Linked DNA regions of Caenorhabditis elegans. The protein of the gene in region 1 interacts with the protein of each later gene in a pairwise test. Each region holds a gene or a part of one and is shown on either strand. Other genes may lie near its edges.

Region 1 (12,547 bases):
AGATTTTCAAGATGTTTCCGGAAACAAAAAAAATTCAACGAAAAATTGAGCTTCTGCTTCTGCTGATGCTCATCGTATTGTGGTTTAGAGCTCCCATCCTCTTCTAAACCAGTCTGTGTCGTCTTCTGAGACCCCTATGTATATGGTGTGAGGGGGGAGCAGCGACTCCCCCCCCCCCCCCCCCCCCTCCTTTTAAGGCTCTGGCTGGACGAAAAAGTGTGGAATTGGGCGGACACGCAGCGTGTTGAAGGAAGTGCATCGATTTACGAACTCCTTCTTTTCTTTTTCCTCATCTTTTCGTGCATCGGAAGGCTCAATGTGCTTCTGCTCCCCCTCTCCCGCTTCTTCCAACACATTGAGCCCCACCCCATGGTGGGGTCCCCCCATTGTACACTTTTTGACTCTTGAGATATTCAACACGATTAATGTGAGAGATAGACATAGTGAGAAAAATGAGCAAGAAAATTATTTGCAGTTACGGGGGTTCGAACCCCGGTCTTTGGGATTGGATTGATAGGGGGAGCAAAATCACACTGCGCCATTAGTTGCCGCTTTCAAAATTTGCCGAAACTACGATTTTTGAAATCAGCGCACTCGAATTAGCCTGGCCGAACTTTGAAAAAAAAAATTGCCACAGTGTAGGCTCGAACCCCGGTCTTCTGACTGGAAGGCTTTTAGTGGAAAATACCACTGCGCCACTTGGACATTTTTTTTTGTAAACTGCACAGGAAGTGTAAAATTCTGAAAACTACTATGATTTTCGAAATTTGCGCACTTAAATTAGCCTAGCCGAACATTGAAAAAAAAAGTTGCCACATTGGGGACTCGAACCACGGACTTCTGATTGGAAGATTTTCGTGGAAAATCCCACTGCGCCATTGGGACAACTTTTCGAAAATTTTCAGATTTTTCTGTTTTTACATAAAGCATTTTAAAGCTATTTTTACAAAACTATAAACGAAAAGTAAACAAAAAAGTGGAAAATTTAAAATTTCTGAGCAAGAAAAAAAGGAGTAAAAATAGAAAATTGTCGGGAAGCACTAACCCCACCCGGGTGGGGTGTATTGTTGTGCTCAAAAATTTATGAGAACCCAACAGAGCGGGGCCAATATATGAAGCCTCCCCTCTCTCTCCTCGCTGTTGGGGTCCTAACGGCCGCCGAAAAAAAAAATAGTGAGTGAGAAGTGGAGCGTTGTGGAAAGGGATTTGAGTGTTCTCGACTTCTCGTGTGTTTACGAGCGACGTGTTGCAAATTTTGACAAACTGACTGACATGTGTCACTGGGGCAAACTGACCGGAAAATGAGTGTGTAAGAGAATTATCACCTGAAAACACGCCGGATTTCAGAGGTTTTAAGTTTGGAAGTTGCTTTCAAACTCGTTTAAATACGAGTATAAAGGCAAAATTTTGAATTTCAAACTGTTTTTCAGAAATTTGTCCGAGTGGCTCAGTGCGATTTTCGACGGCTACCACTCACAAGACCAGGGTTCGAGTCCCCATAGTGGCATATATTTTTATTAGAGTGTATATGACTAATTCAAGAGCGCTGAGTGTAAAAAACAATGTTTCCCAAGCTGAAAAGTGTAAAAATGTCGGAAAACTACGAATTTTCTCATTCTTGTAGGAAATCAACTGAAACTTCAGATTTGCACAGATTTTATAACATTAAATCATCAAAAAATCACTCAAAGGTAACATTTTATTACAGACTTTTCATTACTGGGCACTTTTCAAAAATGCTGTACAAATGGCGCAGTGGGATTTTCGACGAAAAAGCTTCCAGTCAAAGGACCGTGGTTCGAGTCTCCACTGTGGCAAACTTTTTTCCATAGTGTTGTTAGGCTAAACTTTCAATTCTCAACCCAAAAATTATAATATCAATTCCTAAACAGCAGAGAAAAACCTTGAAAAATAAGAATTTGAGAATAATCAGCGGAATATCGGCTGAAAATGTAGATTTTCTCAGTTTTTAAAGCCTTAAATCGTCAAGAACTCAATAAAATTCAAATTTACCCGAAATTATGTCATTTCTGGGAAATTGTCAAAAATGTCCAAATGGAGCAGTGGGATTTTCGACGAAAAAGCTTCCAGTCAAAAGGCCATGGTTCGAGTCCCCGTAATGGCAACATTTTTTTCACAATGCTGATCTCTCAAAGCTTGAAATAAATAATTTATTCTCACTAATAATGTGAATTTCAGGGGAAAAATTGTATGTCGTGTCTGTTGTCAAAAAATTTGAGCCAAAGTTCGAAAAAAAAAGTATGGGCTCAGAGAGCTCTGAAGGGGAAAAATCACATAAAAAGGGCGAAAGGAAGGCACATTTTGGGGCGAGAAACGGGGGAAATAAAAGTGAAAATTGTGCGCAAAAAAGTGAAGAGAAAGCCGACAAATTTGATTAAAAATTAGGAGAAAAAGGGGAAAATAAATAAATTAAGCGGTTTTGGTTGTGTGTGTGTGTGGTTTTAGCGAGAATATAAATAATATAATTATGTATAAAAATGGTCACATTTTGTGGTTTTTTTTTCTGAAAAAATCGAGGAAAAATGGCTGAAAAGAGTTTTTCAGTCCTCTCCACTGTCCGAATCATTTGCGTCGTGCTGTTTCGGATGATAACTGCCGTCGGAGCTTCCGTTCATTTTCATCGGGCGCTGAATTCCACCTGTAGCGGCTGCGGTGGCGGCCGACATCTCACTGGCGTTCGGTGTTCCTTGTTGTGACGGTCCTCGTGACAGTGTGTTTCGTTGGTTGGCAGGTTTTACTGGAAAATATTGGGATTTTTTGAATTTTCAAAAAAAAAATAAATTTGAAATTTTTTTTTCGAAAAAAAATTTCTGAAAATTTTGTTTTTTATAATTACTACAGAATTTAAAATCAGCTCGCTGAGAGCTTCCAAACAAGTATAATCATGACTAGGCTATGTTTATTTTGAACATTTTCCGAAATTTTGGGTCCCGCCACGAAAACTGGGTTACTGTAGGTTGGGATTTTAGTGGGGGACCCAGTTTTCGCGATTTCATTTAGATTTTTCGATTTCAGCTTACCGAGCTTTCAAATAAGTATAATTATGACTAGGTTGGCGGACATTTAAAATTTTCCAAAATGTTGGGTCCCACCGCGAAAGCCAATTTCGTGGTCGTGCCCCAAAATTGAAATTTTAGATTTTTGTTAAATAATTCAACTTCCGCTCGCCTAGAGCTTTAAAATAAACATAATCAAGACTAGGTTATGCGAAATTTTAAATTTTCGGACCCCACCACGAAAACTGGGTTACTGTAGGCAGCGATTTTCGTGGTGATACCCAATTTTCGCTATTTCAATTAGATTTTTCGATTTCATCTTACCAAGAGCTTCAAAACTAGTATAATAATGACTAGGTTTGGCGAAAATCTAATTTTTTCCAAAATTTTGGGTCTCATCGCGAAAATCAGTTTCGTGGTCGGGCCCAAAAATTGAAACTTCTCAAATTTTTTAGTAAATTCGTTTTCAGCTCATCAAGGGCTTTCAAATAAGTATAAACACGACAAGATTGCGTCACATGCGAAAATTTTGGGTCCCATCGCGAAAATGGGTTACTGTAGTTTATCATTTTCTTGGCGAGACCCGAATTTTCCAAGTTTGACAGAATATAGCCATGATTATACGCATTTGAAAGCTCTCGGTGTGCTGAATTCAAATTTTCTAATGAAATTTTTTAAAAAGTGGGTTCTCGCAATTTTCGCGGTGAGACCCAATTTTTTTCAAAATAATCTTAACCTAGTCATGATTATACTTATTTCAAAGCTCTCGGCGTGCTGAATTCAAATTTCCGGATTATATACCAGTAATAATCAAGTTATGAGCATTGGCGACCATCATATCAGTGACCTGATCCAGCGTCTTTCCGAGAACCTCAATTCCATTCACCTCGAGCACCTGAAAACCGGAATTTTTAGATTAAAAACTCTGAAAATTCCATTAAAAACCTCGTCATTAACACCAAGAAGGCCTGTGGACTCGGCGAGCCCACCATCGACAAGCCGGGAAATGAAAATTCCTGAAACTTTGACGACGCCTCGTTCTGTCACTCGAACCGATGTTCCGTCACTGAAAAAAGAATTGCAGATTTTTGGGATTTTCTGGCAAGAAATCTGAAATTTCCAGAAAAATCGATACCGAATATAGAATCCAAGTGGTCGTTCTTGTCCGTGCTTGCAGAGACGGACACGGCGATGAGCTTCTGGCACAATGTCCACGTCGATGATTGCAGAGACCTGCAAAATTGAAAATTTTTAAAAATTAATGGGAAATTTGAATTCAGCTCGTTAAGGGCTTCAAAATAAGTATAATCATGACTAGGTTTTGCCAATTTTGAAAATTCTCCTAAAATTTGGGTCCCGCCACGAAAAGTGACGAAATTTTAGAAAATTACTGCGAAATCTGAATTCAGCTCACTGGGAGCTTTCAAACAAGTATAATGGAATGACTAGGTTCCGCGAACTTTGAAAATTGTTGGTCTCGCCACGAAAATGGGATTACTGTATGTTGGCATTTTCGTGGTGGTGGGATCCAATTTTTGAGATTTTTATCAATATTTTTGAATTGGGAGCACTGTCAGCTTTAAAACTAGTATAATCATGGGTTCCGTTAACTTTGAAATATGCGGGTCCCACCGCGAAATTGGGGTTACTGTAGGTTGGCACTTTCGTGGCGGGACCAGATTTTTGCAATTTCATGAGTTCAACCGAATTCAGCTCACCGAGAGCTTTCAAATAAGTATAATCATGACTGGGCTCCGGAAAATTTGAAGATTTCCAAAATTTTGGGTCCCGCAGCGAAAATTTCCTTCGTGGTGGGACCAAAAATTGAAATTTTCAAAATTTTTTCCGGAATTTGAATTCAACTCATCAATAGCTTTCAAATAAGTATAATCATGACTAGGTTCTGCGAAATTTGAAATTTTTGGGTCCCATCACGAAACGGGATTACTGTGGTTTCGATTTTTCGTGGCGAGACCCAACTTTTTTCAAATCCATCGTAACCCGGTCATGATTATACTTATTTCGAAGCTCTCAGCGAGCTGAATTCAAAAATTCCACTTTTTTCGCTGTGAGACCCATTACCTGTCGAAAATCTTCGGGATTCGAGATTGAATAACTGCGTTTCGGTGGTTTTTGTGCCATAAGTGATGAAATTCCCTTCCATCGTTTATCAGAGTCTGTACCATAACCATATTTCTCTTCCCATGATTCACCGCGGCGTTGAATGAGCAAACGGAGCAGTGGGCGAGCCGATTCGAACGATTTTCGGAGGTTCTGCAAAAAAAATAATGGTAGTTTTGGGATTTTATCGATTTTTGGGATTTTTCTAGGAATTTATCGATTCTTTTTGTGATTTTTATTGATTTTTTGGGGATTTTTTACCGAATTTTTGTGATTTTTCAACAGATTTTTATCGATTTTTTATCGATTTTTTCCGATTTCTTGGGGTTTTGTATTGATTTTTTAAAGCGATTTTTGAGTTTTTTTGTAATTTTTTATCGATTCTTTTTGTGATTTTTATTGATTTTTTGGGGATTTTTCACCGAATTTTTGTGATTTTTGTTTCAATTTTTTGAGACTTTTTTCGATTTTTTTAAATCAATTTTTTGTAGTTTAGGACTTTTTATCGATTTTTTAAGATGTTTAGTGATTTTTTAGCGAAATTTTGTGATTTTTATCGATAAGTGATGTTTTAGTAATTTTCAGCATTTTTTAGTGAAAAATATCAATTTTAGGTCATTTTTACTCGATTTTTCTCGATTTTTTCACCGAAAAAATCAATTTTCTTCAGTTTTCCCTACTAACATTCAGATTTTTATAGACTTTTTATCGATTTTTATCGATTTTTTTTTGAGATTTTTATCGATTTTTTGAGTTTTTAAATCAATTTTTAATTGATTTTTTGTGATTTTTTTCGACTTTTCTGTGAGTTTTCAAATCGATCGATTTTTTGTCCTCGTAGGAGACACCCGAATATTAAATCGATTTTTTTATTATTATTATTTTTATTTTTTAACGATTTTTGAGCTGTTTTAAAAATCGATTTTGACTAACTTTAAGCTGAAAAAATCAATTTTCGAGACATTTTAATTGAATTTTTAGCATTTTTTAGTGAAAAATATCAATTTTATGTCATTTTTACTCGATTTTTTCGTTTTTTTTTTCACTGAAAAAATCAATTTTCTTCAGTTTTCCGCTACTAACATCGTCATTTGTGATTGGTAGAAGATCACCGCCAGTCGAGTTGTAGCACAGTGTGAATTGGACACTTTCCAGGTGATGAAGCTTCTCGACAAGGCTGAAAATATCGATTTTTACTTGAAAAATTGAACTTTTACGGGAAAATTGCTTCAAAAATCGAGTTTTCAGGTAAAATATCATTTTCCGCTCGTTTTTGGTAAAAAAAAACACAAAAAAAAAGACGAATTTTTCGATTTTCCGGCTGAAAATGGCGAAAATTCGATTTACGCATGATTTTAGCCCTAAAAATGCCGATTTTGGCCAAGTTTGGTTTGGAAAATAGATTTTTTAGGGTTTTCAAGGTAAAAATCGGAAAAAATCTGATTTTTTCAAGTAAAAAAAATCATTTTCCGCGTATTTTAGGACAAAAAACGCCGAATCCTTGGATTTTTCAGCTGAAAATCGTTGAAAATCCGATTTTCTGAATTTTAAGGGATTTTATGCCTAAAAATGACAATTTCAGTAACTTTTGGGTAGAGAAATCAATTTTTAACGTTTTTCTACGTCAAAAACATGGGTTTTGACGTATTTTAGGTAAAAAAAAAACGCTGAATTTTTCGATTTTTCGGCTAAAAATGGCCAAAAATCACCTCCGGAACCCATCGTAAGAGACACCAGACGCAGAATGCATTGGTATTGAGAAACGACGCCATTCAGAATCAAATTTCGATTTGACTTGAAGTGTTGAATGATGATTTTGATGGTAGGAGCCGTTGTAGGACATCTGAAAATTTGGATTTTTCGGGTTTTTTGAGCTGAAAAACGCGATTTTTAACAGTTTTCAGCTGGAAAATTGGAAATTCCGGCTTTTTTTGAGTAGAAAAATCGCATTTTTCGACGTTTTCCATACTTTTAAGCTGAAAAATTATGATTTTCGCAAATTAAAACTCACAATTACAAGTTACAGGTGCAGCTCCGCGTTGAGCCGGAAATAATGCACAATTTTCGTGGGAAATATCGATTTTTTCGGCTGAAAATTGGATTTTTTCACATTTTTGAACCTTTTTTAAGTGAAAAAATTATTAAGTGAATAATTTTTGAATTTATTAATCAAAAATCGGATTTTAAATAATTATTCAATGGAAAAAATTGAATTTTAATTTAAAAGTTAGAGTTTTGAACAGTTTTCAACGGAAAAAAAAACTGAATTTGAGTTGGAAAATAGACATTTTTAGGAAATTTGAGTAGAAAAATTGAATAAAAATTCCAAAAAATGGCAATTTTGAACATTTTTCTAGCGGAAAATGAAATTTCAAGCTAAAAATCGCATTTTTTGCGATTTTTACAAAAAAAACCTTCAAAACACCAAATTTCCGCTGAAAATTGAGTAAAAATGAGTCACAAAACTCTCCAAAAAAGTTTGATAAAAACTGATGACTCATCGCCAAAAATTTTCAATAAAAAATCGATAAAAAAGCTGATAAAAACAGCGAAAAATTCAAAAAAAAAGGTTAAAACTAAAACAAATCTTTACGCAAAAAAATGGAAAAAATTGAAACGAAAAACCGTGAAAATCAACAAAAACTGGGGGGCAAAAAAATGGATAAATTACGGGATTTTTCGCCGAAAAAATGGCGAAAAATCACAGAAAAATGCAATAAATTGAGGGGAAATCCTATTCTTCATCGTCTTCTTCTTCTTCTTCGGAATCCATTTCAAGACCTTCGAGTTCCTGGAAAAAATGGGTTTTTTTGAGTGGAAATTTGAGATTTTTTGGGGTTTTTTAGGCTAAAAAATGGGATTTTTGGAGGTTTTTTATGTTGAAAATCGGAAAATTTGATCATTTTAGGCAGTAAAATCGAATTTTCATCTTGAAATTAATCAATTTTATGAGAAAAACTCGAAATTTCGAACAATTTTTGGAATAAAATTGCAATTTTTCGCGTTTTCAAGTAGCTTTTCACTGAAAAATGTGGGAATTTTGGCGTTTTTTCCATAGAAAATCGGAATTTTAGTGAGAAAATTTCAATTTTTTGATAGAAAATATGAAGTTTATCACAAAAAATTCACTTTTAAAGTGGAAAATCGTGAATTTTCAGCCAAAAATGCCAAATTTTGTAAATTTTGAAGCTTTTTCTTCGGAAAAATCCAGATTTTTTGCATTTTTTTTAGCTCAAAAACAGAGTTTTCCATGGAAAAATAAATTTTGAGTAAAAAATGTCTAATTTTTCAGTGAAAAAATGGGGATTTTAGCGAATTTTTACATTTTTCCAGGTTTTAAAAGGGAACGTTTCAAAAAAGAAAAAAAAATTTTCGGATTTTCACCGAAAAAAACTCGAAAATCGACAATTTCCAATGAATTTGCATGTTTTTCATGCAATTTTTTAATAGAAAATCGTAAATTTTCAGTAAAAAATCGATTTTTCAGTGGTTTTTTCCAGAAACCTCATTATCAAAGAGGCTCTCATCAATTTCGACTTCATCTTGTGCTCCAATAAGTGTGACGTCAGAGAGATTGAGTGTAGCGTCACGAAGGAATAGTTGACGTCCTGGAAAATATTGGTTTTTTTTGAAATTTTCAGCGATTTTCAGACGGAAAATCACATTTTTTGTGAGATTTGGAGCCAGAAAATGGGATTTAAATGAATTTTTCGCCTGAAAAAGTTCAAAATTTCGATAATTTTGGCGTAGAAAATCGCAAGAATCGGGATTTTTATGATTTTTTCCACTAAAAAGACGGAAAATAGCATTTTTTCGGGATATTGCGAGTTTTTTTGTGAATTTTTCTGAAAAAATGGGGATTTTCCGATAATTTTAACTGCAATTTTCTTCAATTTTCCAATTTTCCGGTTAAAAATCTCTGGTTTTTTACGTTTTTTCGGTTGAAAATTGCACTTTTTAACCATTTTCATGCGTAAAATAGCCTTTTTCTTTGATTTTTAACTGAAAATCTCGAATTTTTTGCATGAAAACCGCCAATTTTTACGTTTTTCCAGGCGGCAACTTGCAATTTTTGGGGTTTTCCGCCCTAAAATCCTCATTTTTCCGCCATTTTCCATGTTAAAAATCGCGATTTTTACAGGTTTTCACTGAAAAATCGCAATTTTCAACGTTTTTCATGGAAAAACTGCGATTTTCTTCAATTTTCCGGCTCTAAAATGCTCAATTTCACAGCTTTTCACCTGTTAATCGTCCAGCCAACGATGCCAATCGTTCTTTTTCAGCTGCATCAATTTCAGCTTTCCGTTCCTCATCAAATCTGTCCTTCCAGGCTCGGAATGTGTCCGGTGTCACTACAGTACCTGGAAAATTTGGAGATTTTTGGCCATTTTATAACATTTTCTTGAGTTTTTGAGACATTTGTTCAGATTTTTCAAGGCTTTTAGGACATTTTTCAAAAAATTCGAGCAATTTTGAGTGCTTTTGGAGCATTTTTCTCGAATTTTTTGTACTTTTATAGCCAATTTCGCGAAATTTTGTGGAATTTCAACATTTTAAGCACTTTTCCCTATGAATTTTAGGTCTTACAGCGAAAAATTTAGATTTTTACAAATTTTTCCGTATAAAATCGTAAAATTCGAAGATTTTTCACAAATTTTCACCGATTTTTGTAAATTTTCGGCATTTTCTGGTATTTTCAGCTGTTTTTGCGCAATTTTCCCGCTAATTACATGAAATTCGGTGATTTTTGGCCGTTTGGGCGCGTTTTCAGCCCATTTTTGCCGAATTTTCGGCACTTTCATGCTATTTTTGATGAATTTCAGCTCAAAATTCGTTTTTTAGCGATTTCGATGAAGAAAATCGTGAATTTTCCTATAAAAATTTAAAAATTTCACTGAAAATCGGTGATTTTTCGAGTTTTAAGCGGTTTTGAACGTATTTATATGAATTCCGCTGTTTTTCGACAATTTTCAGCAAATTTTAGCGGATTCTAGACGAAAAAATTGAATTCTGTGGGGAATTTAAGCTGAAAATCACTTTTTTTGCAATTTTTCAGGGATTTTTTCCTGTTTTTGGGGATTTTCAGTGTCTTTTGATCAATTTTTGTCCATTTTTCTCCGATTTTTACAGATTTTCAACCATTTTTTACCCTCAAATTTCTTGCGGCTCTCGGCTTCTTTTTTCTCTTTCTCAATTTCGACTTTTTCCTCTTTTGCACGTTTTTTCACATCAACAAGCTCTCCAATTTCATCTTGAAGTGCTGAAACAATTGCAAAAACCATAACCATTCCGAGATTTTCTTCGGCAACAGAACGTAATTTATCGATTGATTCGGCGATTCGTTCGGCTGTGAATGCATCTTCAATTCCATTCAGAGTTATTATTGGAATCTGGAAAAAATTGGGGATTTTTAGGGCAAAAATGGCTTGAAAATGAGGATTCTGATGGGGAAAATCTGAAAAAAAAACAGGGAAAATTGAGATTTTCAGCAATTTTCAGCCTAACAATGGCTTGAACTCATGGTTTTTAGAGCAAAATTGGCTTAAAATTAGACATTTTCAGCAAATTTCTGAAAAATAGGTTACTTTTGGGCGTTTTTAGCCATTTTTAGCACAAAAAATCGACAAATCGGATTTTCGGCTGATTTCAGAGAATTTAACCGGTATTTTTGCTTTTACTGATTGCAATTAGTGAAAACCGTCAATTCTTATCCTTAAAAATGTTCCTAGTGATTTTTTCCTAAAATTTCTCCTAATGATTTTTCTGTATTTTTCAAGCAATTTTGGTGGTTTTCTACTCTTTTGAATAATTTACGAGATTTTCCAGCTTTTTCCAGTCTAAAATCGCATTTTCTCAGATTTTGCCGGTCATTTTAATCGGTTTTTCTATTTTTTTTCCAGTAAAATTCAGTTTTTCAGATTTTCCTCTTGAAAATCGATTTTTCGGAGCTTTTTCCTGGATTTTACCTCATCTGGATAATTTTCGGTAAATTCGATGCCTAATTCCACGTCGAAATCGTCGTCCGTTGGGTCTTCGTACTGAAAAACGGGAAAAATTGAGTTTTTTGATAAAATTAGGCTAAAAATTGAAATTTTGCCGTAAATTTTTGGGGTAGTTTTCGACGGAAATCTCGATTTTTCTATTTAAATCAAGCGAAAATCACAGTTTAACCCGTTGAAATCAAAGAGTTCTCGAAAAAATCACAATTTTCATGACAAACCTGATTTGACTTGAGCTGAATCGATAGTTCAATGTTCGGATAATCCCGGCTTGCCACGTGAATTTCTTCTTCCGAATAAATCGCTTCGAGAGCCTCGATTTCTTGCTCTTGTTGCTCCTGATGCGACATTTCTCGGCTTTCACGCGAGAAAAATCCAGTTTGTTGGAATGCTCGTAAAGTCTGGTGTAAAGTACGCAAGTGCGCGCCGCCGTGTTTGCGGACTTTAAATTGGCGCCGATTTGAATCGCAGTTTTTCGATCGAGGAGTTATAACTCGGAAATTGATGATATTTTTACGATTTGCAGAACCAAATCGATTTCGAAATAGGGGTAATGATAGAGTTTCAATGAAAGTCGATAAATTACCATTTTCCCTGCAAAAAAACGGAAATATAATCCGCTGAAAATAGCTGAAGATGCTGTTTTGACAGAATAAATATCGAAAAAAAATATTGTGAGCTTTTGGGATACTCGAAAATTTGAGACCTTACAGAAAGGCGATGTATAGCAAAAACTAAGAGTGCTATCAAAATTTTGTTAACTAACGAAATGGTCCTCAGACTATGGCAATCATTTTGTTAGTTGAAAGTTTTTAGATTGCAGTTATGGTGACAAAGTTAGATTCGCTTAAACTTTTGATGTTTCACGACACTGTACATTTTGAGGTACAACTGTTAAGCAGATGTATCTCAAAAACTAAGAGTGCTATTAAAACTTATTCAATTAACAAAATGATCCTCAAACTATGTAACATATCAAATTGGTTGAAATTTGTTGATTGCATTAACGGTAAAAAAGTTACATCTGTTCAAACTTAACATGTTCTGCGACACTCTAAATTTTGAAGTATAATGGTTAAAGCGGTGTATCTCAAAAATTAAGTGATATCAAAAAATTGTCCAGCAGTCTCTAATAGTACGTAATTCGCACAGAGCCCGGGAATTGTGTAGCATGCTGGGCTCTGCGGCTCTTTTCTCGGCGCATCTGAAAATTCCATTTTTAGTGCTTTAGAAAGAAAGAGTGTGCAAATGATTATACTAGTTGAAAAGCTGGAGCAATAAGCTTTTCATAAAAAATATAATTTGGAAAAAAGTGTACAGATCATTCCATACTACTCGAAATGCGCCGAGAGCCAAATGATTCGGCTCTCGGCTCTCGGCTCTTTGGTTCAAGGCGTATGTATATCTACA
Region 2 (9,904 bases), on another chromosome or scaffold:
TTCATTTTCTTGCCAAAATTCGAAGTTTTGCAAGAGACACAGTCAGTAAGAAGACTGTAAAGTTAATAAGAGAAAAGTATTTATCGAAGGAAGAGTTTGATCCAGAGAATGTGAAACAGTGTTCACTTGCAGCGGAAGGCTTATGTAGATGGGTTTTGGCAATTGATATGTACAATCAAATAAGTAAGATTGTGGAGCCAAAAAGAGAACGATTGAGGAAAGCTGAAGTATTGGTAAAACAGCATTTAAAACAATTGGAGGTCAAGAGAAAGGCACTGTTGGTATGTTTCAAATAATTAGAAAATTTAAGGAAATCTTGTTATTTTTCAGAAAGTGACGGAAAAACTTCAAGGATTATCCGACCAGTTCAGTCAAATGTGTCAGAAGAAACAAGAACTGGAATCTCAGATATCAAGTTGTGAAGTTCGAATGGAAAGAGCTGAAAGGCTTGTTCAAGCTTTGAGTGGAGAGAAGGATAAATGGAAGAATAAGATAACATATATCACTCATGAAGATTCTCTCAGTGTTCCTTATTCTGTTGGATCCTCCTTGGCATTACATGTCTTTGGAAAACTTCCAATTGATCAGAGAGAGGTGAGTTTTTGTTTTTGAAAGTTGAAGAGGATATATATAACATTTGAATATTTTAATTCAGAAAGAACTCCGCAAAACGATGAGATCATTATTCCCAAGACTGGAAGTGACTATTCCATGTGATCTAAAGACTCTGGTTATGCTTGTGGAAGATCCGATTTGCTTTGTGAATGATGATAATCGAGCATTTGAAATTTTACAATCGAAATTCGAGAAAATCGTTGTAACAAACAAGTGGACAGAAGTTGAGAGGCAACAATGTCTAACATTGAATTCATCGATTTTGTTTGAAAACTGCATGGAAAATACTCGAATGGTAAAAGAAATTGAAGAAGCTGAATATTATAGTCAGATGGAAGATGAAATTGTGAGTTGTCTATGACATAATGAAACCGGTAAACTGGAATTTAATTATAGGTATTTAAAATTGGGAACGCCCACCATGAAGTGAATAAGAATTTCCGAGTGTTCTTCCGAACTAGGGCATCAGAAACAACTTTGCATAATTCAATAGTAATAGATAATCGGTATAGTGATGAAGAGCTCAGACATGAGATTTGTGAAACAATGGGTTCATCTAATTGGTTTGAAACTTTGAATCATTTTAATGAAATGGTTGAATCTCGAAATAATGATATATCAATGATGGAAAGTGAGCTGTTGAATTTGAATTTCCGGAATTAATAGTTTCGATTGCAGACACCGAAAATGAAATGTTGGACTTATTGGGAAGATCCAAAGATTTGGATGATGAGAGAGCAATTGATTTATTAGCAGAAGCCAGAAATCTACAAGCTTCCATTACAGCAAGAAATAAAGAAATTGCAGAAGTATGAACTACAAAATTATTGAACACAAATTCAATGTGAATTTCAGATCGAAACTTCTTTACGAGCAATTGAAGGAAGAATGTCAGAGTCAATAGATTATTCGATGAAGATTATTAAAATGTGTTACTCACTTTATCTTTTTGACCCATTCTATAGAATTTCTTTGAAATCTCTGGTCAATGTTTTGAACACGGTACTTTTGACATTAATTTTCTCCTCGGAAATCTGAAATTTCAGAAACTTTTCGATCACATCAATGACATTAAATTTAGTGAGATTGGTCACAAAATATCAGAATTATATTGGAATTTTTTACGCAATATGTTGGCCTGGGACGATAAAATGATAATTCATCATTTGTTATTTCATGGAATGAAGTGAGTATTAAATATGGAGTCGCGCAACTGAGCACAGGGATCCCAAAAGAAAACATTAGAACTCGATGAAATGAACTGTTTCGACGCAGTTTTTTCCAACTCAACACATTTTCAGCTACAAAGTGGATAAAATTGAAATGGAAATAAAAGATAGAATCAGTATGGATAGCTTCATGAATTTTTCATCATTTATTCTAAAATCTGAGCCAAAACAACCGATACTTTTAAAATATGATGCAGAAGTCTACACAACAATTCTTCAGTTTGGACAAGTGACTAGAAATGCCAATTGGAGGGTTTATTCAATTCTTGATCATGTTTTCTTGTGAGTACTTTTTACTTTTGGGAAATATATTCGTAATTTCAGAAAGTTGGAAAAGCTTGTCGATGAACCAATTTGGCTTCTGTTGAATGTGAATAGAAGCGATCAAGAAACAGTTTGCAAACTGAAAATCATTTTTGAAAAGTTGAAGAATTTGCCGATTGTTCATTCTTCATTTAGAATTATTGTTGCATATTCCGACGAGATTTCAGCTTCTGATGAGGTACACCGTATTATTTTGTTCTACATATAATCCAGAATAACTTTACTTTTCTGAATCTACTTTTTTCCAGCTTATCGAAATCTCATCCCACCGCTTTTATTTTTCCCGTTCGACTTCATTGGCACAGCAGATTCGTAGAATTCTTGCAAATTTATCATTGAGAAGTTCTTTGGACAAATCAGAAGAAAGTCAAAGAATTCAAATAATACGATTGATTTCATTTCATCGAGGGTTAAAGTTACGACGGCTTTATGATCCAGAATTCAATGTAGTAGTTGATGATGCGGATCTATTGGCAATGATGAAGCTGTATCAAGAATTGAGAAATTTGAGTGATCAGCCGAATGAATTTCAAGATTTAATGAAAGTTAAAGTAAACGTTATTGAACCAATATACTTCCCAAAAACAAGATGCCAGGTTCAAAAGAATATAATCAGCGCGATGATTCAATGGATTGTTGAAGCTAATTTATCAATTCCAGCAGATACTCTTTTGAAAACTATCATTAAAGAAGATAATCATAACTTTGTAAGTTCAAACTTTTTTAGAACCTTTATCTAAGGCTTACACGCAAAAAAGTGTTTTCGGTATACGATGCAGGACTAACTAATTGTAAGAAGACGTTTGTGCCTGCCTCGTACCCGCACGAACGATACACGTGCATACTGGTGGCCTATATAGCCCAATAACTTAGTACAAAATAAAATTTCGGTTCCTTTGAGTCTCGAGACCTATAGGTAGTTACAATGCCTATAGGCATGTGGATAGGCATGAAATAAATACCCTAAACATCAGTATTTTATAAAAATTATTTCAGGAAGATTTCGCGCATTTCATGCAATCTCATGAAGAAAGTATCCTTTGTGGATTCAATGCTCGAAACTCTAGAGAATGTCGTGAACTGATGTACAAGAAAGTAACACAAAAAATAAAAATACTTTTTGAGCCGAATATTGGAGCAACTCAGCAAATCGCTAAGAAGATTGAGTTGGTAACATGAATAATTCCGCTTTAAAATTTAGATTTTAAGATCAAGAAGTTGGCTATTAGATGTGGAAAATGGCGAACGAGAAGTTGATGGAAGAAAAATAAACAATCTCACCGAAATTGTTTCTTTTTTGAAAATGCAATTTTGTTTGAAATATAAGATTGGAATTTCAGAAGTGAGCCGATTTTCTGCTTAGATTTTCTAATATCCATTAATATTTCCAGGTGATGGTGACCGGCGAATTTGTGAATGAACACTATGATCTTCCCAAACTAGGATCAGATTCCGACGTTCCTTTGCTGAAAATGTCGCATTGCGTTCTGATTTCAGCTCATTTTGTGAATGGAGAAATTCGAGTACATAGAACTACTTAAACAAGACTAGAGCAATTAATTTAATTTTCAGGAACCTCAAAATCGTCAAGCCCAATATACAACTGTACTTCTGAAGACCACAAAAAGAACCGGAGCAGGGAACCCAAGAAGCTTGCCAGTTATTTGTCCATTTTCACAGAACGCAGTGACTCAAATACCATTTCATTCACAATTTCCAATAGCTCATTGGCATCTTCGTGGCGCATTTGTAACAACTTCCAGACAGATTTGAATTTTATAAAGAATGAATTCGTGGTTCTTTTGTAATATTAAAAGTGTTTTTTTTCCAAAACATGATTATTTTTTCTCCGTAAATATTACAGCTACCGTAGTCGGGCGTTTGGTCTCGCCACGTAAATGCCGCTCTTCAACATATTTGAATATAAACGTTGTTTTTCTTTTGCATTATCTTTTTCGTTTCGTACGGCACTGATTTTTTATAAAATACAAACTTTGTAAAACAGAAAATAAAAAAGAAAACTCATTTTATCTCCGAAAACTTGTTGCTCGTCTTTGTCTTGTCTCACTTTAAAATTTACTGCCCCGCGCAATTGACGTGTCCGTTAGAGCGCGCTTGCATTATTTTTTTAGTTTCAAAAAAAATCGTTTCTCGTTCTTAACAAAATCGTGTTTTTCTTTTTACGTTCCGCAACTAATATGTTTAACAAGTTTCTATATTTTCAGAATGCTCAAACAACTATTGGCTTTGACTTGCATGCACAAAAAAGATAAAAATAAGCTTGCAATAACTGCTGGAACCGCAGAATGTTCGAACAGATCTCCTCAAAATTCACCGGGATCTTCCTCTGAAGGCGCTGCAGACGAATCTCTAAATCAGAGTGTTGCTATTCCGGTTATAATGCCAATTATTTTCTCATTTAAAATATTATTTTTCAGGAAGAAGCTCATCTGAACACTTCACAGTTTATTTCACTTCCCCTCTCCGACGTCTCATTTGAAGCCGCTGCATCTCAAAATCGAGCTACACCGATTGATTTTGGTACACGAGAAGTGAAAGAAGATGACGATGTTCTCAGTAAGTTGGAGCTAATCGTTCATTTTTAATGTTCCATTTAAGGTGACACTGGTCGTCGTCGAAGCGTTAACTTAATAACGCCTTCTCCTATTCCAGAAGAAACCGAGGATAACTTAACAGAAACGCCTATTCCTGTAGTTGAACACATTCCAAGAAGTGCAATTTTTGAACCTTTCAATCACGAAAATTCTCCTTTGTTCTCCGTGAAGGCACGTAAGGTATGCACGTTGTAATTTAAAACGTCGGCGTGTAGATTTAATCGATAAAAAACGAATCATTTCTCGTTTTCAATCTACTCGTCGTAATGAAATTCGAACAAATAATGGAGTTCTTCAAGAGAAAATTTCAGAAAGCTCATGAATACCGCTCCAACGATTCAACTCTCAGTCCTTCATCATCTTCCAACAATGACGACAGTATCCGGATTGACGTAAGCATCAAAATGATTAAATCATTTTTTTTAGTTTAAAATTTACAGAGTATCCGTGTCCGTTCATCAAAATCTGCAACGAATAATCAACTGAAAGGACGGCTTACACCAATACTAGGAGGGTCCCTTCGCCCGATTCCAAAAAAGTAAAACTCTTTCAATAAGTTCTGATAATTTAATTTCATTTTTAGAAGGAACCGAGTCGCTTTCAACGGAAATTCTACATTTGTCGCACCGGAGAGACTATGCTTGGAAGTTGATAAAATACATCAAGATCGTTGTAGGTTTTCCTTTGTACTAACATTATGTGTTCCTTATGCATGATGTTTATTTGATTAAGACGCACCGAAAACGGGAAGCTTAAAGTGTTGACAAATGTTAATAATGGGTTGAGGTTGGGGGAAGTGGGCAAAAGTAGCCACTCTACATGTATCGTAATCTGTACTATTGGATAATCGGGGTTGACCTCTTTATATTTTGTATTTTTATGCGATATGCAATTGTCCAACTCTTTTTAACTGCTGTGTATTGCTTACCATTGTTTTCGAGGCTTATGTTTCTATTAAATTTACATCTAGCCCCATCGACGTCAGGTGTGTGTTTATGCACTTTTATCTCAGAAGGGAACGTCGTAGATTCTTCTATCTCTTAATATCTGCTGGTCATTTCTCGATTCATCGGCTGTCGTGGTCATTTATCAGAGCTTGTCAGTCTATTGTCCCGGTCACTCGAGTTGTCTGCTCCTCCTTTCTGTGCTCACGGACCTCCTATAAACTCATAGATCTCACCTTTCCTCGTCTCAATGTTTCTATTGTCTTCTTCAATTTCTTGCATTTTTCAATTTGCAAACCTTCCTGCATGCTTTCATGCTTTCGGTAAAATTCGAAAAGTTAGATTTTTTTAAAGATGACTTCCTAGAAAATAAGTTGAAACTAAACAAAATAGTTTGGCCAATTTCAAATCAATATGGCTTACCGTTTTGATATTTCAAAAATAATTATCCAAATTAAATTTACATTTTTCAATGATATTCTCAATAATGTAACTTTAGTTAGTATCCCACCAGATGTTTTGTATCTTTGACATTCTCCATCATAAAGCGTTATGAATGTGGTATAATAGTTGTATAGAATGCATTGAGAATGTGCCCACATCCTGTGACATCTTCAGTTGTCTTCACATCTTCAGACGCCAGGGCGTTACAACCACCTGCCGATATGTGTCTGCCCGAATTTTCGCGCCTTCTTTTTTTGAATTTGATTACGATTCTTCCAACTAGTTGAAAGTAGTCTTCCAAGCAATGTACTTCAAGTTTCTTTTTGTTTTTGCGTTTAAAAAGTATGTTTGTCTCAAATATATTTTGACTAATTACATAAATTAAGAGTTGATAGTACAATTAGATGTGAATATTTTTGCAAAATCCATCAAGCGAATCCATCAATATCTGTCATCAGTGTAAAACATCGGCAAGTATCAATACATGCTTTGGTTTTTTTCTTCTCCTGAACATCTCTACTTTTCATTTCGAAAAACCTTTCTTCTTCAACTTCTCTGTTCATATCTTTATTATCTCGAGCTCTCATTGTTCGCTCTTTTCCAGATTTGCTGTTATTATACTCAAAATGAGTAATGAACGCGTCTCAACTGGGTCTCTAGGAGAACGGTTGATGCTTCGTACTCGAAGTACACGAGGATCCGTACGAGAAACATTGTCGAAAGCGATTCGTTCAACACTCGGAAGAGCATCCTCAATGGAACGGAAGGATATGCCTGATCGTCCAAAGTATGGTACTGCGCTCACTGCAATGACCTCTACAACACCACCTTCACCCAAAGATAGAAGTTCGGATAGTGGAGATGGAGATTCTCCAAGACCCAGAAAATTTTCGAGCAAAGTGAGTTCTAATTCCTAGACTTATTCATTACATTCAAATTCACTTTCTAGGAATGTGCACGGATTTACTTCAGCAACACAAGCAGTGAACATTCTTCTCGATCGAATTCTAGTACTCCTCGTAGGGTTAGACATACGACTGCTTCATCTGGTTATGGAAGTCTAAGTCATCTTCCTCCAATCTCGTATCGTAAAAGTTCGGACCCTCTGAATTCGTTAATGTCTCAAAGCATGTACGTTCAATCACCAGGGATGCACATCGACGAACCAAAATGTACTTCGTTGTCACAAAGACGATTATATTACGAGGATTCTTCGGAAACGTACATACCATCTTCTCCCAGTTTGACAACATTAAAGGATTTCATGATGACCAATGACGATGAAACATTTGATGACTTTGATTTTGACAATGACGATGTCAAATCAGTGATTTCTTCTGCATCAACCAGTCGAATTTTCTCCGTAGACAATAGAATGTCGAAATATCAGAAGAATCAGTCACTCCGTCAGTTTTTAAATTCTCCAGGTATTGATTTAGTTAGAGGTATTATATATTGCAACTGTATACCTGATACTGTAATTTATGCAATGTCTTGATCTAACTGTAGGTATCTTTATTGTGAAGATATTCATCCACACTGACGACAAGTGTTCTCGTTGTCTAAATGTGTTTTCTTGAAAAGTTTCTTGCCGAAAGAACAATTCCCAGTGGATTTATTGGGTCCTCAAGTCGTTGATGCGTCTCTTGTGTCTTGCGCTCAAGTGCGTGCGAAGCACACGTTCATTATAATTTTCTGACAAATGGCTGCTCATAACGTGTCGTCGGCGCTCTTGTGTTTGTGTGTGTGGTCGCCGGCCGAAACAGCCGACGTCGTCCGGTCCCTCTGGATTTCATGCGTTATCTCTGTGGGTTCACGGGCTTCTCTAATGAGTTGAAGGAATCACAAAAAACGCACTTCTCCGAGCATCGGAGACGCACAAGTTGAATTATGATAGACCGATTGAAACGTGCAGTATAACGAGGAAGAATAGGAACCGAAAGAGCTGGTGGGGAAGCCACACCCCGTTAGTCCTCGACAATTTTGCAAAGAATTATTTCTATTTGCAATCACATTCAGCACACAAAAGAATTCACAATTCCAAATGTGCAAAAAGTAAACCGTCTAGAATTTTTACTTCTAAAAATATGCTTCAACCACCGTCCCCTCGATTAGGAAAACGAAATATTATCAAAAATGTAACTGGTAAGTCTAATTTTTGTCCGGAAAAATATGTTAATCTATGAAACCGTTCCAACTTCAATTTGTGCTCAGTTACCAAAAATATTACTTCATCGAACATGAAATCGTTAGGTTTTTGTGTTCATTTGAAAAATAATTCGTGACAGCTGGCTCTATCCATCTGGCACTAAAATTTGGAAAGAGATGTTACAGTTCATTTTTTATTCTCAATCGTTTCATCTTGATGCAGCTGTCACCGAAAGGGTCAGTACTCTTGGTTTTTTTCAACTTTGCGTACAACTCAGCACCTGTGTGTACTTCCCGATACGGAGCATCTGGTACTGTGTCTGTTACGAATGGGTATGTATCGCATTCGATCGGCAGAATGGTTGTGCGCAAGGCAAGCAACAACAGCAATAGCTGTCATCTTAAAGTTGTAAATCATTCGGACGTTTTAGCGTATACTCATATCTCTTTTCCATTGTCTGCAATTTGCTTCAAACATTTAATGTCAGAATGAAACGTTAGGAGATTTTATGAATGGCATAATTTCCAACTGCTTTTCAAACCCAATTTGGACTTTTATGATTTGAATCCTAGCATGCCACGTTTCCATGTTCTATTTGCCAATTCCTACTCGGCGTTTGCCGCCAGCTTCCTACCCAAGGCTTCGCAACTTCTTACCCAAGCCTTGCCCAAAAAATAAAAACATTTATAAGGAGTTGCCAAGACTTGGGTAAACCTTGGGCAAGAGTTGGGCGCCGCCTCAAAAATGAAAAAAGTCGGGGACTGCCTCGTCGTCTCGAGGCGTCGCCAAAGTCTTACCCAAGTTTTGCCTATTTCTTACCCAATTTATACCTGTGTGTTGAACTTTGATCGCATTTCCCGTTGTGCCGAAGTCTTACCTGCTGAGCCATGATGGTCGCGCGAAAAGATGCACACTAGTAATAATATATAGTACTCATATTCTGATAGATATTTTTGAGGAAGTATCAGACATATCGGATTGATACGGTATTCTCACATACCTTATTTCATTTGTTTTCAAGAGTGCTCCCTGATGATTCTAAGTTCAGAATTTACAGAATTACTGTAATTCATGTTTGTTTCATGTCTTTATAAAAGTTTACATTTCAAAGGAACAGTTCAGTCTTAGAAAAATTCAAAATTTGATGCATAGGATTGGACTGACTATAATTTGACTATTGGACTGACTAGGAGAAGAATAATCCTGAAGATAACTTTTTTATTTTATTTTTAGATAAATTAAATGGTTTATTAGACAAAGTGGCAATAGAAAGCAAACTTTGTTCGTACATTTTTTTTAAACAATGTTAGCCATCAGAGAAAAATATTTAGAATTTGCCTTTGAAGGGACAAGTTTTCCTGTGAATTCTTTCAATTACAATGAAATTCCTCTATTTTAAATACAAATTAATCAAAACACAAAGTGTCGATTTACGCTAAACATTGCGCATGCGGGATTTCGGAATCTTGTTCGTTCTTTACATCTGCAAACTTGGGTAAGAAGTTGGCAAAACTTGGCTAAGACTTCGGCAAGACTCGGGCGAGGGAGTTTACACTAGAATTGTTGAAGTTGGCTAAGACTTGG
Region 3 (9,832 bases), on another chromosome or scaffold:
TAATTTTTCTGGTTCTGGTTTTTGTTGTTGTGTGGAATATGGTTAGAAAACTGAAAACTTTGATAATTTAAACGCCCGTGAAAAATCAATGCAGATTTTTACAACGTAAACCCAATTATAAGCCTCTAGAATGAAAATACTTTGGCCTTCCCCATAATTATTAATTTTTCACCTGTTTTGCTTCCAAACTTGGAAAATCTTGTCCCGTGTTCCAACCTCCAATGCTCCATCATCTCTGGTCACATCAACAGTTGCTCCGATACTCCGACCAATTTCAGTATCTTCATTGATAAGAGGTACCTTATGATTTCTCAATAGCCGAACATCTACCCCATTGTGATATCCATACGTGGCACCTTTTCTGTTGGTCAGTCCAATTCTCTCTTCTTTCAAAACCTGAACCCTTGGACCTAGGCATAAGTTTTCTCGAATCCCTGGTGTAAGGCATGTTATAGTTGACCTTAATAAATTAATTTTTGAAAAACTTTATTTGCTGCATACCTCAAGGTAAAAGGAATATCAATTCCATCTTTTGTGGCCAAAGCAGCTTGGCGTTTAAATCTTATAAACTCGCAATTAATCGAAGAAAATTTCAATAGAAAAATAAGAAACACAGAATAATATGTCATGATAGTATTTGTACGATTGATACCCAAAAACAGAATATTGCGTAACGCAGAGGCGATTCATTGCGTAACAAACAGGTTCTCCTTGGAAGCATATGCTTTTTGTAGTGTGAGTAGTGATAAAGGTCATCAAAGCGAGGGAGTCATCTTGAGGCCACTTGTTCGTGTTCACCCGGTCATTATTTGTTTCTGGTTCGATTCTTTTTACTGTCGCCCTCAATCCGTCGGCTACTGACCTTCGGAAGCGTCGGGTACATCCCTTCGTTTCCGCATCGCATTAAGTGCCATTCTCACTCACATATGTTTCTTTCTCGTGTGCCTTTTTTTATTAGCTGCAAACTTCGCAAGCTATTTTACTATGCATACGGCTCTGTGATTTGAAAGTTTAAACTCGATTTTGAAACCTTCTTTTCTTTTGGCTCAGTTTTTTGGATTTATTTTATTTTTGGTGGAGGTGTTGGAGGATTTGTTGACTGATATTGACTGAAATTTTACGTTATTTTAAAAATTTTGAATTCAGAAGCATTAATAGTAATTTTTGTCAAAGACATGAGCACCTGTTTTTTTTGTTGCAACATGTCAACTTTTGAAATGCAGAAGTGCCATTAATATTCAATCTACAACAAATAAGTTTTATATTTTTATAGTTGTTCAGGGCGACTGTTGTACAGAAAAGTTTAGCTTATTTTATGTAGAGTGACTATGTTTTTAAAAATAAATTTTCGGTCAAGAAACTGTTTAGATGATCTTTGAAGGTTCCAGAATGGTATTCTGTAAATCTAATTTATGATTTTTTCTAGTTTTATCACATTTCAAATCTCTTTCGGCGTGATTTTCGTGAGTTAACTTTTTAAATCAATATTTTAAAAATGTTAATGTTGAGAAAACATTTTATTTGGGTCAGTCTTTGAAGTCTAACCTCTGAAAAAAAACCTGGAAATCATATGCTCCAACTCTGTTCACTGTTCACTGTGTGAAAGACAAGTTTTCACAGCGAACTTGAAAGCCGCACCCATTTTGTATGCCAGCTGATAACCTTCTTATCCTTTACTCATCCTTGTGTGTTCTCACATGCTTTCTCATTCGTGAATTGGAAGAATCCCACAGTTTTCCACATTCGGAATGCAATTCAACTTTTTTTTGTGTCATGATTATTGCCGTCATCATCATCACCCGCCCGCTAAGGCCCCTTTCACAAATAACGAACGGTTTGGTGTTGTGGCCCATAAAAGTACCGAGCAAGGTCAGTCGGCGAAGAGAGGAGAGACGGTGTTATTCATGCATACCTCTACACAAATAGTGTCTCGGTCAATCGGACCTATGAGTCTCATTGACATTAAGTTGAGGTATGAACGTCGATGGCAATACCTCGCCTGCTCTTTTTTTTTCGATAAAAGGCAATTAAAAATATCTTTCTTGTAGATTTTTAAACTTTCGGAAAAGCAATCGTAGAAAAGTGCAAAAAGTTGATTGTTCAGTTTGAGCTTTTCCATTCAGGCTCTCCGAGCATTTGACAAGCCGCGCGAGCTCCGCTGGTAACTCACTGTTTTTCTAATATCCAATCGCGCACCGCTGCGCCAATCTCTGTTCATTTCGTCGTTTGCCAGCTCAACTAATAGTCGGGACAGCACCCACTTCATATAACTTATTGACACGACTATAATTTGTCATTTTGCTTCTCCAATCCATCTCATGAAATATGTGTGTCGTGGCGTCAAGTTGGCATATGCAATGAGGTGATGGCTCTCTAACTCTTGTGCAATACAGCTGGTGCGCACTGACTCAACCTTCTCTTTTTTGACATTTTACATTAGGAAAATGCCAATCAGAAAGTGTAATGGTACACAATATGTGACCTATAGTCGGTTTTAGTTTATTTTACGCCGAAAATACGGTACCCGGTCTCGACACGACAAACTGTTGTTAAATGCGAAAAGGGTTGCGCCTTTAAGGAGTACTGTAATTTCAAACTTTCGTTGCTCAAGAATTTTCATTGAATTTTCATAGCGTTCCCCACATATATGTATTTAACAAAACATTTTCGTATCGTATTTTTGGAAAAACGCAAAATTCCGCGTCTGATTTTAAATCACAAACCGACAATAAGGTTTTCCGAATCCAAGAAAAATTGAATTTTCCCCAAAAAGTAGAGCAATTTATTTTCAAGTCTTTCCTGTTTTTTTACAAATCCATCCCAGCACAACTCGGTGTTCTTCCAAAAACTCGTCTCCTCCAACATGCTCATTATAATGGATCATCATCTTCTCTAGAGGATCCTCTGTGTGACTTCTCCACTTGACAAATTGCCCAAGTGGAAATAAAATAGGCACATTTGGAAATCCTTGGTGAGCACTGAGAGAGAAAATAGAGTAGAGAGAATCCAAAAATGTAATTGGATAACCACCTTCCTCCCGTTCTGTCTTCCAGAAATGTCCTCCCATTTTCCCAGCAAAGGTTTCATTGTTTGTTTTGATATCAAAAATTCATTTATTATTTAGCTATGCGATGAGCAATGCGATGACTGCGAATTCAGTTTTAAGGCCGCTTTTTCTTAAATAAAATTTAAAAAAATTTGTAGACTTGTGAAATTGAGAAATACAGTAATCATTTTTCGGAACAGATGGGTACGGTACGCATTCGCGGCGAGACCTATCGCATGGCGGGAAATTTTTTTTGAAAATTAAAATCTGCAAAAACTTCAAATTTTTAGATTGTCTATTGATTTATGTGCGATATTTTGAGTTTTTTCTCATTCCGTCAACTAATTCTCGTCCAGAAGATCAATTAAGCTATTCAGATCTTGAAAACACGAAAAAATCCGATTGAAATCGGAAATCGGGCCGATTTTTTTCAGAATATTGTTTTTCGAGCTGAATTTGTCTGCGCAAAAACAAAACTTAAAACGCTGAATTTTTTGTATTACAGATTTGAAAACTCAAGAATAAAATCACTAAAAAGCTAATTTTTGTATCCTTTTAAAATTGGCGCGGGCAATTCGGACAAATTTTTAAGATTTTAATGTTTTCCCGCTAAATTCAAACTTTTTTCCATCGCTGAGCACACTAAATCATTTGCTCTTTCTCTCTTACTGTTACTTACTTCACAGACACACCAATCATTTTCTTATCACTCTAATATATATTTTCTTGCAGATAGAAAAGGTCTCGCAGAGCAAATAGGTGCGAAACGAGAGAGCCTCTCGGGAGGAGAAACGTTGATTGGTTTGTTAAAACTTCTTTTCATTTCATTTAATTTTTCTTTATATCTGCTCATTTTCAGATCGATCATCATGTCGGCTTCATCCACGTCATCATCTAGCACATCGTGTCCGGAAGGTGGCGAACCATCGGGAAGCTGTAAAAGCAGCGACGAGGGTGAATCGACACTGAAAAAACGAATGCAACAGTACGGAATTGCGAGTGGTTACGCGAATTCCTCAATATCTACACTTGATAGAGTGCGGAAGTTTTTTTTTCTTAAAAATTGGAGAAAAAATCTTGAATTATCTTTCATTCACGCTTCAGAAATCTTCAATTCAAACTGTCAACAGTTCTACCCGATTTTTGTTTCAAAAAAATGCTTGAACTGCTGAGAATTCCATTTCTGCAAATTTTCATACTGCAAAAATGCGCATTTTAAAATGATTTTGTAAATTCAAATTTTTAAGTCAAAATCCGAATTTTGTACACATTCTATTTTTGAGTTGGAAAGTTTAAGATCCTTTTCAAATTTGAAATTTCTGGCTTTTTCGATTATAACACCGAAATCTGGAATTATTTTTTACTTTAAAAAATGTGAAATCCATTGAATATTTGAAACCTTGGTTGTAATTTATAATTATAAGCAATATTTTAATTTTTCAGAGCCAATATCAATCGCTTCCACTGAATGGAACTCGCCGAGTCACTGTTCAATTTGGACGAATGAAAATTGTGGTACCATGGAAGGAATCGGTGAGCTTTTTTTTCAAATGTTCAATCAATTTTTTAATATTTTTCTTGTTCAGGATCAGACAGTTGGTCAACTAGCAGACGCAGCACTTCTTCGGTACAAAAAAGCGAGGGGAATGGTAATTTTTTTTCTCCAAAAATTTGCAGAAAAAAGGTCATTTTGGAGGCAAAAAAGCGTATCCCAAATTTTCCCATGAATACAGTCAGTCGGGAATAATGAAAGGAAAATCAACAAGAAGCACGCAATTTTATCTTCGTCTTATTCTCTTCCAATATTATTCCATTCCCGAAGAAGCAGCAGCCCCCTTTCGTTTTCTCGGAGAGGTTAATTCGGCTGAGAACAAGGCCGCACCGATGAGGATGTGTTGAATACCATTTCTCTGTTCATTTTCACCAAATAATCCCCTTCCTTTTCCGCTTTGGAGAAAAAGAAAGTTTGGAAGAGACGCAGACAGTGTTACAGTGTGTTGTTGGCACACAACACTGTAAATAATAGATATTTCTTCATTCTCTCTCATAAGTGACTGTCAAAAAGTTTTACTATTTTGTGGAGTTGAACTGTGGTGCTCTTGGATTTTTATTTAGTTACTCCTGATCTTCTCACTTTAAACATTAAGACTTAGTGGTTATCATCCCAATTTATATTTACTAAGCAGTAAAACATTTATCTTGATTGAATATCCAATGATCGCTTCATTTTCTTGAAAATCTCTACAAATTGAAGGCAATTTTCTCCTCTTGGACCACCAACCATAACTAGCGAATCCTAGCCAAAGAGGGATTAATTTCCAAAATGGATTCTGGTCGAATTTGACTTTAATCGGCGTACGCTGTGCGGCATGGAAATTCCGGAGGCCGTCGCCTCGTCCCGATTGGATTTTGCAATTTGCAATAAACGGATTGATTTCGACGCGCTTGGTAGATTTTTGTTTATATAACATGCATTGGTCTCTCACCATGTTCACTTCATGGCGGATTTTGTACGAATCTCTTCCCCCTCATCATCATCGTCGTCGATCATCATGCTTCCTGTTCGCGCAGGTTGTAGCATTCGTTTCGCAGTAAATTAAGTTTTCCGCTGTAGGCAGGCAGTTGATCTAAATAAATCTGATAAGAATTTATTCGAAGGCTTAAGATTTGTTATCTCTCTCTCTCTCTCTCTCTCAGTTTTGTTGATTTAGATTTATTTGACGTTGAGGACGATATAATCATTATCAGCAGCAACAACCAACTTGAAATTAATCAAATGGAATGTATAGTTGGACGTTGTGTAATAGGAGTACGAGTAGAAAGTGTGAGTCAATTGCAGAAATTAGTGTTTTGTTAGGAAGTTGGGCGCCAGTTTTAAACCCGCCGCCTACACTTTTGATATTACGATGAGCACGGTTCAAAGGCAGGAGTTTTTTTTTCAGCCGTATCAGACTTTATAAATTTTCCATTTACTAATTTGATCCAGTTTTTATGGTCATGTAACATGTAAAGCTGTGTTTAGTCCCAGCCGAAAAGAAAATTGAACAGAACTCAAAGTTTTCGTGTGACTAAAAAAATATGGTGAGTCACCTTGGAATGTTTTTGTTCGGTTTTGAATTTCAATTCAAAAATTGTGAACAACTTTGGCGTTATTCATAATTGTGGAAGTTTTGAATTTCAGTTGAAAAATGAAAATTGTGATGTGAAAACCTTGAATTATTGTTCCTTTCAAACTTATTGTATTTGACTCCAAAGGCCTCCGAATAGCTCCAGAACATGTGAATTGGCAGCACTTAAAGTTGTTCATCTATCTCTATCTCTCTCTCCTCGCCATCATCGTGAAATAAAGCACCCCCTATTCTACATGCAATGTCATAACACTCATATCTCATGTTATCGCCATCCTCCGCTGCCACTACGAATCATCTGTTCTGAAAGCAGCTTTTTTTCGGGTGGTTTTTGTATTTTTCTTTACTGATAAACAGCTTGTGTTGTTGTTGTTCGCGACGAGAACAAATATCATGGACATTTTACCAACTATTGAGAAGATAAGAAGAAATGGTTAGGAATGATGTGTATATAGACATCTTCCCCTTTCTATCTCTCTTCCCTTCTCTTCCGAGTGTTTCTGTTTCTATTTGTCGTTCGATCTGATGATTGTCGTCATTTTTTCTCAGCCGCTCCTCTTCTTGATGCCCTTGCGCAACCCCACCGTGGCTTACTTGTTGGGGGGTCTTGGAGCGAAGAGCACACATAAATGATATGAGTCATTCCGTACAGTCATCCTGTATTCTTCTTGTTCTCACAGTTTACCCGTGCTCGATGCCTTTTTATGGTGCAGCTTCGGGCCCTCTCGTACATGAATGGGTACTGTAGCTGTTATGACCACTCGAAAAGTACTATATTCTTCGCTCTCTTCCTTTTTTCCGCTTCTGCTTCTCGGTTGAGTACACCTTGTTTACCTTCTGTGTGTGTCTGTTCGCTTCCTCGTGTTTTTCGCTCGTTACACATCACCTTAAAAAAATTCTGAAACAGTGAGCTTTTTCGGTTTTTGGGAAAATTATTGCATTTTTCTGACTTCTCAAACGAGCCTTTTACAACATCAATTCCGTTCCATCTGACCCTCTCTGAATCAAAACGAATATAAAATTTCCAACACACTGCCCTCGTCACATCTGTGATTCGTACCAGCCGGCTCTTCCCATCTCCCTTTCTATTCTCTATTCTTCAATTCCCATGATTCTAGTTCAAAATTGTTGAATACATTATTTTTGTTGTCATCGTGTTCATAATGCGATTATTTCTCGCATACATAAAACAAGTTCCAGTTTCCCCGTGATTTTTTGCACGGAATCATGAGAGTTCTTGATAGTTTTCCGGAGAATATAATTTTGTATACATCGGATTTTGCAAAAAAATTACGTTGGAAACCGATTGACATTTTAATTGTGAATGAATGAAAATTCTGAAAAAAGGCTTGAAATCTCAGAATAATGGTTTTTCAATAAAAAATGTCACTTTTTGAAGTCAATAAACCTCTCGTTATCTGGATAAAAATCACTAATTAGGCGGCTTACACGTACCAATTACAAGGTACACTTCTCTTTTCTTGTTACTAATCGCAACTCAACATCTGCTCTCTCTCATGTTTTCCCATCTCTACCTCAGTCCTTTTTCATCATTCCCTCCTTCTACGGACATTGTCGTTCATCATAAAAAGAAAGACCTCCATCGCTTTTTCACCTACGCAAGTGTATGAGGTGAAAATAGTGTGGCTTCTCAGAGAGACGCAGGTGGTATGCGCAATGACCGTGCTCTCTCTCTGTGTCTCTCTTTCTCTTTTTTCGAACTGCCGAGGAAGGACATCAACCTCTTTTGGGCAAATACCGGTTGAGATTCTTTATTATTATTATTATTATTTGAGGCTCTCGGTACATTGTTTGGTTTTCTCTTTCTTTCTCTGTATCTCTCTCTCTCTCTCTTTTTGGATTCATCCGTCATCATGTTTTGAAACACGCATCGGCTATAATTTCAGCACATGCATAACGGTCGTGGTGGTCGATATGACGTTTGCCCTCCTCCACCACCACCACCCTATCACTTTAACCATGTGCATACACCGCCGTCAAAAGTCATCGTCCAGCAGCAGAAACAGCAACAAAAAGCTCATCGAGAGCCGCCGCCGAGCTATCCTGCCTCCAAAATGACCACCACAAATGATAATGTTACGGTTAGTAAGAGAAATTTTCAGGCAAACGAAGATCGGATACACGTACACCGACTCGAGTGCGCGTCTGATGGTGGAATTCTCGATATGGATGATGTTTTAGAAGAAGTTTTTGATTTGAATTATGATCAGGTCCGGAAAATTCGAAGATTTGAAGATGAAGAAGAGCATTAACGAGATATATATAAAGTCGAAATTATAATTTTTCAGATCCTGGCAATCACTGATGAAGCTAATGGCGGATCAACTACTCCAACGTATTCTCAAATTCAAAAACAACAGCATCACTATGCACAACCTCTACCATATGCTAGGAAATTCGATGGAGGACCATCAACACCGATTGCGAGTGCTTTTGGTGAGTTTTTTAATGTTTTAATATTTAAGTTATCCGAATCAGCTGAAAGTTTATGCGTTTCCAATTTTTTTCAAATATGTATAACTGAAAAACTTTATAAAAGTTAAGAAAAAAACGACGAACTGAATTCACCATTTTTGAATGACTAAAATAATGTTTAACTCTATTTTTAATTGTAAATTACCAAAAAGTAGTGGATTGAAATCTACAGTATTTTTAAATTTTTATTCAAAAATATGCAAAATGAAATTATTCCAAAATATGCTGAAAAAGATTAGATTTTTTCAGAAATTTTTTTTGTTAACTTTAGAAAAAAATTGAAATTTCCTAGAAATACAATCTATTTTTTAATTAGTTGAAATTAATTTTAACAATCAAAAAAAAATCAAATTTTCAACGTTACACTTTTTGAAAATTTCCTTGGATTTTTCAAATTTTTTATTCAAAAATTTCCAATTTCCAGGAAGCGTAACTGTCAACCATCAGGCTCACCGTGCTGCATCTCCATATAATGTCGGATTTGCAAGAAGCAATTCTCGAGACTTTGCGCCACAGCCAACACATTCGAAAGAACGACGCGACTCGGTTGTCGAAGTGAGCAGTTTTGATCAGATTCCACAATCTGGGCTTCGAGTATCGACACCGAAACCGAGCAGACAATCGGAGGATGTTATAGACGGAAAACCAATGAATCAACCGATTCTGCGATCCTCACTTAGAACTGAAGCTTCAGGAAGTCGTACCGAAGAAGCGACGCCTGTAAAACAATCCAGAGTTACGTTGAGCCCAGAAGTTGAGAAGAAGCTCGCCGAGCAGGATGAACGGAAAAGTGAACGTAGGAAACATTATGATAAGAATCCTGGACGATTTGCGAGAGGTTCTGATCGAAAATCAAGGATAACTGATGCTCTTTTGGATGCTCGTGACAGAATCGCCGATCAACTAGAAAGTCAGAATCCAGCAGAAGAGACGAAAAGTCAGATGATTCGAGTGAAAATTGATCAAGGTCCCATGCCAGGAACGTCGCTTGTCACTTTCCCACCGATTCCAGAAAAATCAGAAAACGAAAAGCAGTTGGGAATAGAGGTGAATGCAGTATTTGATGAATCATCTGAACTACCGGGAACATCAGAACCTACTAAACTTAGTTCTGTTCAAATTATGAAGATCGAAGATGGTGGTCGAATTGCAAAAGATGGAC

What was found.
Region 2: the proteins of par-6 (region 1) and noca-1 interact in a two-hybrid assay, tested with the Caenorhabditis elegans proteins (2 studies listed by BioGRID).
Region 3: the proteins of par-6 (region 1) and par-3 interact in a two-hybrid assay, tested with the Caenorhabditis elegans proteins (2 studies listed by BioGRID).

What each region holds. Positions count from the first base shown.
Region 1 is NC_003279.8:12,664,060-12,676,606, reverse strand, and holds par-6 (Partitioning defective protein 6), read right to left. Parts: upstream 7,228-12,547; 5' UTR 7,150-7,227; intron 6,982-7,149; coding exon 6,848-6,981; intron 6,316-6,847; coding exon 6,222-6,315; intron 5,292-6,221; coding exon 5,100-5,291; intron 4,353-5,099; exon of another isoform or gene 4,287-4,352; intron 4,251-4,286; coding exon 4,153-4,250; intron 4,084-4,152; coding exon 3,963-4,083; intron 3,913-3,962; coding exon 3,819-3,912; intron 2,759-3,818; coding exon 2,562-2,758; 3' UTR 2,160-2,561; downstream 1-2,159. Other genes in the region: T26E3.4 (RWD domain-containing protein), read right to left, coding at 7,873-7,929, 8,643-8,746, 9,380-9,499, 10,288-10,528, 11,105-11,176, 11,359-11,487. UniProt on the Caenorhabditis elegans protein: Necessary for apicobasal and anterior-posterior asymmetries associated with cell adhesion and gastrulation during the first few cell cycles of embryogenesis. Required for localizing/ maintaining par-3 at the cell periphery.
Region 2 is NC_003283.11:13,148,526-13,158,429, forward strand, and holds the start of noca-1 (Non-centrosomal microtubule array protein 1), read left to right. Parts: upstream 1-4,393; 5' UTR 4,394-4,394; coding exon 4,395-4,562; intron 4,563-4,606; coding exon 4,607-4,745; intron 4,746-4,787; coding exon 4,788-4,963; intron 4,964-5,094; coding exon 5,095-5,175; intron 5,176-5,223; coding exon 5,224-5,321; intron 5,322-5,366; coding exon 5,367-5,455; coding exon of another isoform or gene 5,456-5,499; intron 5,500-6,260; exon of another isoform or gene 6,261-6,401; intron 6,402-6,797; coding exon of another isoform or gene 6,798-7,070; intron 7,071-7,120; coding exon of another isoform or gene 7,121-7,598; intron 7,599-7,742; exon of another isoform or gene 7,743-7,954; intron 7,955-8,258; coding exon of another isoform or gene 8,259-8,316; intron 8,317-9,904. Other genes in the region: dhc-3 (Dynein Heavy Chain), read left to right, coding at 1-281, 331-594, 656-961, 1,012-1,246, 1,294-1,424, 1,471-1,617, 1,662-1,801, 1,917-2,126 and 6 more. UniProt on the Caenorhabditis elegans protein: Plays a role in the assembly of microtubule arrays in the germline acting redundantly with ptrn-1 to control circumferential microtubule assembly along the body which is necessary for larval development, viability, and morphology and integrity of the epidermis.
Region 3 is NC_003281.10:5,660,457-5,670,288, forward strand, and holds the start of par-3 (PDZ domain-containing protein), read left to right. Parts: upstream 1-3,776; 5' UTR 3,777-3,847; intron 3,848-3,905; 5' UTR 3,906-3,915; coding exon 3,916-4,083; intron 4,084-4,489; coding exon 4,490-4,579; intron 4,580-4,632; coding exon 4,633-4,695; intron 4,696-8,084; coding exon of another isoform or gene 8,085-8,297; coding exon 8,298-8,405; intron 8,406-8,483; coding exon 8,484-8,631; intron 8,632-9,073; exon of another isoform or gene 9,074-9,094; coding exon 9,095-9,832. Other genes in the region: F54E7.6 (uncharacterized protein), read right to left, coding at 173-460, 502-629. UniProt on the Caenorhabditis elegans protein: In cooperation with pkc-3, required for establishing cell polarity and regulating spindle orientation in the early embryo. Localization is crucial for recruiting par-6 and pkc-3 to the peripheral apical cortex and restricting par-2 to basolateral surfaces.